Linked DNA regions of Coturnix japonica. The protein of the gene in region 1 purifies or fractionates together with the protein of each later gene. This does not show direct contact. Links are inferred from orthologs where the notes say so. Each region holds a gene or a part of one and is shown on either strand. Other genes may lie near its edges.

Region 1 (3,910 bases):
CCCTGCACTTACACTTGCCCTGTCCACACAACCTGCTTCTACTCAAGACAAAGCACTGACAAGAAAAGAAGCAAAGAAGCCTCCACTAAGATTCTGGAGTTTGTAATACTAAACTTTAACCAAGGGCAGACAAAGCTTCTTCAGATTTTTCCAAGACGTTAAGATTTCAATCTGAACAGCAAAGTGCTCCCGTCCACAAGCATCAAGCACAGTAACAGTGCTGGTGCCAGCTCAGCTCTTAGCTCGACCACAGCTTTTTGCTGGCCTATAAGGGACACAGATCAACACCCAGGACTCAAGTGAAAATCTGATGAAGGGACTCAGCTTGTGTTGAGCTGAGCAACAGGAACAGCCCAAACCCAGCAGGACTTACGGCCACTCCAGACCTAGTTCCAGGATTCAGCATCTCATTGCTTGTCACAATCCCAGTGCAGGATTAGCCATTCATCCCAACACCTCTCACAAACCTCCCAGTGGCATAAAAGAAATCTGCAGGAGACATTGTGCGCCACCAAAAATAGGCCCACAGTGTTAGGCACAACACAGTGACTCTGGCAACTAACAAAATGTCTCCATTTCTCAATCTCATTTCAATCCCATAGTTACAGGTTCTTTTTAACATGATGTGCAGAATTTCAGAATATGGCAACATGCAGACTGATGTATCATCCTTCAAAACCAGTCCATCCTGGTTCTCACTGACAAAAGGAGCTATACTTCTCTCCCTCTTGATAAAGAATTGATCATAATGAGAGACAAGCAGAGAATGAGGATGTGCAAAGCACATCAGGGGCGCCAGTGCAGCTTTGAAAAGGAAGTTATACATTTTATACGATACCCTGTATTTGCATTGTTTTCTCCAGATCCAGCGGGACCTAAAAATAGTGCTGCCATCCACACCATCCTGAAAAATGAGCAACAAACTAGTGTGAAGCAATGGTTTCCAGCATCCTCCCACACAAGCGTGCAACACGATTCTATCAGTTCATCAAGCAAATGATGAAGTAAGCCCATACTCCTAGAAATGTCTTCCTCAGATAATCCTCTCACTTGTACAGGGTGCCACTCATCACAGCTCTGCTCTGACAAGCCCTGTCCACTGCACAAGAAAGATGGCTGTTCACTTCCATTGGTGGAAGCTCAGGCAAAGACTTCAGCCACATTCTCTGTCAATGGAGATGGTTGACTGTAAAGTTAGTACCCAGCACCAGACACCAGGATACAGCTGCACCATGGCTTCTACCAGCAGGACCAGATCAGACTGCAGCTGTATTTAGGCAAAAGGGAAAGTGACACACTCCTGCAGTGCCAAGAAGTAGACAGGAGCACTCTTGTGGCAACACCCTGCTTCTCCTAAACCTGTGCAATGGCTGACAAGAAACAGAAGCTCAGATCCCACAGGCAGCGATGAAGCGGAGCAGGTGCTTCCCAATGTACACAGAGGAGATGTGAGGGTTGGCTCCAGCACACAGGGAACAAGAGGCAGCACCATGCTCTTGCTACCCCACAGAGCCCACAGAAACCTGACTACTCACAGCCACGCTGCCAACACCAGCAATCACATTTGTGCAGTGTTCCATCAGCAGTGATTGCTGGGTCCAGCTTTAAAACTGCACTAGGAGAGGAGGCTCCGACACCCTGACTTTGCCAGCCACCAACACTGAGAGATGTGCTGGGAGAGCATGCACTTGGTCCAGCAAGGGGGCTCTTGCACGATGAAGTCCCAGGTTCAGCTCAGAGGAAAACTGAACAGTGTCATCAGTGCTTGATGCTGAAGGCTTTGAGAACATGAAGGATGCAGCACTTCACCTACCTCATGGGCCTTCTGTCTTTGCTAGGACAAGTCTGCAGAGCAACGTGAGTTCCTAGTACAAGAACGAGGGGCAACCTAAAGTACTAAGTATCTGACATACCTACATCAAGATTAAGGATAAGAAATTACCGTTTCATATCATTCAGACAGGGCAGTGTAACTCCGTATTAGCAATAATGCGCTGTTAGCTTCCAAAACTGACCTCAAAACAACGTACTTCTGCAGAGCTGAGCTGGTGAAGCGGCACGGGACCAAGGAGCACACACAGGCACGCTGTACCATACCCTTCCCGCGGTGACCTCGAGCTACGAACTCCACCTGCATTACACCGAGACAAAATTCGACGTGAGGACGGCTGAGGGAAGGGAAGAACGAAGTCGGAATCTCCACCTCCCTGCCACAAATCGCACAGCTCGGCCCCAGCTCCGGCTCCCGGCAGTGCCGACTTACAGCCCCGGTGCGGCGGACCCTCCCTCCCCGCGGGGCCCGGCTCGGCACGAGGCCGGCTCCGATCGCCCCGAACGGCTGCGGGGTTCCAGTGGGGGCGAGGCCGGGAGGCGTCGCCTGCGGGGGCCCGGCACATCGCCGCCTCCCGGCCTCGCCCGCACTCGAACCCCGCAGCCCCCCGCCCTGCGGCCCCGAGGCGGCCCCGACCGAGGGGAAGGCCCCGGCCCGCCGCCCGGGGCGGAGAGGAGCCCGCTCGGCGCCTGAGGGCGGCGGGAAGGGCCTCCCCGCTCTCACCGCACTCACCGCCGAGGCACCTCCAGCGGCCGGGCGCAACACAGGACACACGGCGGCGGGCCGGGCCGGGCCGGCTTCGCTAGCGGGCTCGGGCCGTGCGAGGGGCGGGGAGGAGGAGGAGAAGGAGGGGGCGGGGGGACGGGGGGGCGCCGTGAGGAGGCGCGCAGCCGAATGGCGGCCGCCTCACCGCCCCCCCGGGCCCGCCCGCCGCCCAACAGGAAGCGCCGGCGCCGCGCTCAGTCCCGCCCCTCGCGGCCTCCCGCCTTCTCGGTCAGGTGGTGCTGCCGTAAGGCGGAGCGGCGGCGGGAGGCGGGAGCATCCTGTCAGCTATGGGACGTCGTGCGGGGTTGATGTGGGCTACGCCTTCCAAGAGCTAAATTACAATTAAATTAAATTACAGATCTAACCTGCATCAAGCAATGAACCTCTTGTTTGCGGTGACACCTGCACAGAATGGGCTTAATTCACACGAACCACGCCCCCTTTGTCAGTTCAGTGCCCTGCTTCAAACCAGCAGGAGGATGGTCTCATGGCTGTGCTGGGTTACCTGCTCTGCCCTAATGTGCTCTGCTGGCCTCTATAGTGCTCACATGAGCCCTTCTGTGTCTAACCTGCGTTGGTGGTGGGGTTGCTAAAGCAGCGCTAAGTGAAGCTGTCTTTCTTGGGCCAGTAAAAGCTTTGGGTCAGGAAACACTCCTTTAAGCACTGCAACAGGCTCCTCAGGGAGGTGGTTGAGTCACCATCCCTGGATGTGCTTAAAATCCCTTTGGATGTGGTGCTCGGAGACACAGTGGAGCAGAGAGCTGTTAGTTAGGGTACTATGGGTAGGCTGTGGTTGGACTCCATAATCTTTAAGGTCTTTTCCAACCTGAGCAGCTCTATGATTCCATGATTGTAAATATTTCATAGAATCACAAGGTTGGAAATGACCTACACAACCATCTAGTCCAGCTGTCCTGGTCTCATAGTTTCGTACCGATCTCTTAAAAACATCTTTAAAATGTTTGGTGTTGCTGTCTATAGGTTAGGAGGAATGAGCATCGTGGTGTCCTCACTGCAGGAGACACATGAGCTCTGCTGTCGGTCTCCTCACCCAGCAAAGGTCTCCAAAAACTGCTTCTGCTTTCACTTTCAGATAGAATCCGCATACAAACCTCAGCAGTGCTGAAACATTAGCCCAAGCCTGTATTGTTTTGTGAAGGGCTGGTGGTTGTCTCCATGATCTGTCGTAACATCAGGTGGCATTTAGCAGTGATCCGTCACAGCTCAGAGCCCACACAGAGGCAGTGTGTTTGGCAGCACTTGTGGCTAAAAGTCCATACTACCTCTGTGTAGGTATCAAGGGAACAGGTTGGC
Region 2 (3,843 bases), on another chromosome or scaffold:
GGCGATCGGCTCAAGTTCGGCAATTTCCGGAAAAAAAAGACGCAGAGCTCACCGACTCCCCCAACCCACTCGGCAATTTCCGACAGCGGAAGGGCTCTCTCATAGGTGCCCGAACAGATCCGAAAAGGCCCGAGCAGACCCGAAGCGGCCCGAGCGTCGCTGGCACAGCGCTCCTTCTTTTTTTTTCCCTCTCTCCGGAAATTGCCGATCGCTGCAGCCCGTAGTGCGGGGTTATAATTAGCCGCAGCGGCCCCGCACCCCACCACCCTCGGCGGGCGGGAGCGCGGTACAACACAACGCAGCTGCTCCCCCTCCACCCTCGGCCCAGGCGGGAGGCAGCGCTGACCTGGAGCTGTGCCCGGCGGACAGCGCTGGGCCCGGCCTCGTTCCGCCGGCAGCCACGCAGCGCTCGCCTCCCTCCCGCCCTCCCCTTTCCTCTCACACGCGGCGAGAAAGGGTGAGTGCTGCCGAGTGCTGCTGGGTGCTGCCGCCCTGCAGCAGCGACACGGCACCGGGGCTCCCGCTTTCTGTCCCCCTGCAGCCCCGCTCTGCTCTCCATTAACCGCCAATAAAGGCCTTTCCCCGGGCCCTCTCCCTCCTTCCCTCCCTGGCGGTGGCGGCCATGATGGCGGCTGCCTCCCGCGTCCCGCCGGCCTCCCTCACCCAGTCGCTTTCTCTGTCTCCGCGAGGCATCTTCCTCCTTTTGGACGCCTGGCGCGGTCCTGCGCTCGCCCCCCGTGGGACAGACGTCTTGGCCCCCTCCTGTGCTGGCGGCGACGACGGGAGGAGGTTGCGGCTGGCGCGTAGGCGGCGTCGTTCGCTCTGCCCCGTCAGCCGCCGGCGCGCTCAGCTCGGCCCAACCCGCCCCGCACCGCCCGTCCCGCCCCGCGCCGCTCCCCGCCCCCTCCCCTCCCCCCTCAGCCCCTCGGATGCCGCCGCTGCCGCCGCCGCTCAGAGCGCGCAGGGCGAGAGCCGGGAGGAGACGGGGGAGCGGCGCGGCCGAGCGGCACTGAAGTCTGTATCCTTCTTTTTCCCCTTCTTTCCTCGTCTCGGCGGCACTCCCCGCTCCCACGTTTACTCCCCGCCGACATCCGCGGGGATGGAGCGCGGGGTGCGGCCGATTTTCCCCCCCCCCCCCCACCACCACCAACCCCTATAGCGCGGCGGCCGCGGGAGGAGTGGGCATGGCGGGAGGGCCCCGCGGGAAGGAAGGAAGGAAGGGAGGAGGAAGGGAGGAGGGAGGGCGGGTGGGCGGCGGGGCCGGGCCGGGCAGACAAAGCCGCCCGCCAGCGCCCGGAGCGGCCTCCGCGGCGGGGAAACGTGGCGGGGCGGGGGGTGGCGGGCATGGCGAGGCGATGCCCCCCCTTCCTCCTCCTTCCCTCCCTCCTTTCCTCCTTCCCTCCCGGCGGCCCGCGGGGCTCCGTTCCTTATGGGTTGGGGGTGGGGGGTATCGGGATCGTTCTTGTGGTTTCTTTCCCCTTTCTCTTTCCGATGGGGACGCGAGGAGCTCTCCCGCTCGGCCCTTTCCGCCGCGCTCCCCCCACCCCCCCCCCTAGCGGGGGGCTGAGCCCTCGGGCCCTGCAGGGCCGTGTGCTGTGCCGTGCTCGGGCCTGTGTGCGATCCGAAGTTTTGTAGTTGGAACGGGGCAGGGATGATAACGTGCTTAAAGAGGTGGTCGGTGTGAGAGGTGTGGTGGTGAAGGGGATGGATGGTGTTGGACTCGCTTGCTTAGGTTAAACGTAGCGTGTGCAGCTTAGCCGAGCTCACGTCGGTGCAGGGCCTTTAATTCGTTCAAACTTGAGAATCGGAGGGCAGCGTTGTGTATTAAAAGAAATATTCGCAGTTTGGAAAGCGGTGGGTGCTCTGTTACACTCCAGACGTGGAGCTGCTCCCCGCCGGATCCACAGTTAACACGTCTAAAGCTATATTTGAGTTAACTGCTGGAATCTGAGCTCCTGTTCTGTTGGGTTGAAGGAAATAAGCATCCCTGATGGTCCTCCCCCTTTTCCCTACAAACGTCTCCGTGCCTTAGAAGGCCTTGGAAAAACCTTTTTTCCCCCCCATCTACCACTTCGTTACTATATATCCCGACTAGGTAAAGGTGTGTTACTGGGTTATGCCGGACAAAGCAGTAAGCTGCTTCTTGTCCTGGATTTAATCCATCCTGTAAATGTTCTATGCCGTGAATACATGGGGGTTGGAACAAGGACCATGTTGTATTGGGATGCCTTTCTTTGAGTAACGTCAACTTCCTTTTAATTGTCATGCATTTTTCTAGTAAAAGCTCTGCAAGTCTGCAATAAAAATGGCCTCCAATAAAACTACATTGGTAAGTTCACGCACACCTAAAGTATGTAAGGATTTAATCAACATATTTTTCTTCAAACTTAATAACTTGGCATCTCCATTTAAAAAGATACATCCACATCTCCCCTCCCCAGCATTTTTCTGACCAAAATTTCAGGTCCAGAAAGTAAGGCTACTAGAAAGGACATACTCTTTGGCTTTAACAAATCTGCCATTTCTACAGAGACTTGTTGGGGAATACCAAAAAAAATCAAGGACTGTGCACTATTTCGTCTGTCCTGTTGTAGAAAGCACTAAGGATTTTTTTTAGCCTCCTTTCAGGATACCATGTAATTCATCGTTTATGTAAAAATAAGTAAAATCATGTATTCGTTTGATTTCTTCTAGTCTATTCAGAGAAATAGAAGAACAAACTGAGTAAAGGCGGTCATACAGAAGAAAAATAACATTACTGGGAAATGATGTGGTGTAGTTAAGATGCCCTTTGAAATTATTATTATTATTATTATCATTTTTTTTACCAAATAACAGTTTATTTGAATTTCATAGGAACAGAAATGATCAGATGTCAACCCCTCCTGAACGATTTTAATGACGCATTCATGGTTCTCAAGTCCCTGTAAAGCTTTGCTTGACGTTAAAATATGAACTTCTAAAGGCAGTTGGTTGCTGGAAAAATGATTTTAATTGCCATTCAACTACTTACTTTATATATAAATACATATATATCGATATATATATATATATATACACATATATGTGTGTGTGTGGAAGAACTGAAGGAATATAGCATGAGATGCATCTGAGGTTGAAGCAGGATGCGTGGATACAATTGGACATTTGGATAGCAGAACAACGGACTTATCATGCACTCAAAAGGCCCGTTCTTAAATTACTCCAATGGTTGCTAATTGACCCACATTGAGGCACGTTAAAAACTCTTCTTAACTCCTGGCTTCGAAGCACAGTGCTTATTTGATATTATATGATGGCAAACCGTTCTAAAGATAACATCGAGATGAATGTCTGAACTTTGTTAGCAATTGATTGTCCACTTTTCCCTATTATGAGGAAGAGGAGCAGTTACCAGCCCAGGGAGGGCCTCAGGGAAGGGAAGGAGTCTGCAACTGCAGTATTTTTGCTATTATGTTCAGAATTTTGCTGCAGGTCAGGAAAAATCAGTTATGGTTCCCATGGGAACCGTAACTAATTCTGCTTCATTGCATATTTGAATGCAAAACTTAGATCTATTGGGGGTAGTGTAGCTCTGGAACTGTAATTCTGCTTTTGTTACCTCACGTATCGTGTAACACTCCATCACAACGTCATGTCTCTGTTCTAGTATTGCCCCTTAAAGAAGGAGTCATTACCCATTGAAAGCCATCTCTGTCTGTCGGATGTGACTTCTGAATGGGGAGCAAGCCTCAGATGAGCATCCAGTGCTTAGATGCCCATGCTAAGGTTTAGAATGGGTAATCCTAAAGGAGGGAGCTTCAGTGGACGCTTCTGCCCTTCATTCTGGGTCAGCTGCTACGT

What was found.
Region 2: the proteins of CHAMP1 (region 1) and CBX3 purify together in Homo sapiens (affinity purification with mass spectrometry; 6 studies listed by BioGRID and IntAct, with this or other methods). This does not show direct contact. The link is inferred for Coturnix japonica from reciprocal best matches to the Homo sapiens genes CHAMP1 and CBX3.

Annotation. Positions count from the first base shown.
Region 1 is NC_029516.1:123,375,651-123,379,560, forward strand, and holds the start of CHAMP1 (chromosome alignment-maintaining phosphoprotein 1), read right to left. Parts: upstream 2,742-3,910; 5' UTR 2,564-2,741; intron 2,132-2,563; 5' UTR 2,031-2,131; exon of another isoform or gene 2,016-2,030; intron 1-2,015. UniProt on the Homo sapiens protein: Required for proper alignment of chromosomes at metaphase and their accurate segregation during mitosis. Involved in the maintenance of spindle microtubules attachment to the kinetochore during sister chromatid biorientation.
Region 2 is NC_029517.1:29,453,788-29,457,630, forward strand, and holds the start of CBX3 (chromobox protein homolog 3), read left to right. Parts: upstream 1-901; 5' UTR 902-1,014; intron 1,015-2,278; 5' UTR 2,279-2,305; coding exon 2,306-2,329; intron 2,330-3,843. Other genes in the region: HNRNPA2B1 (heterogeneous nuclear ribonucleoproteins A2/B1), read right to left, coding at 664-693.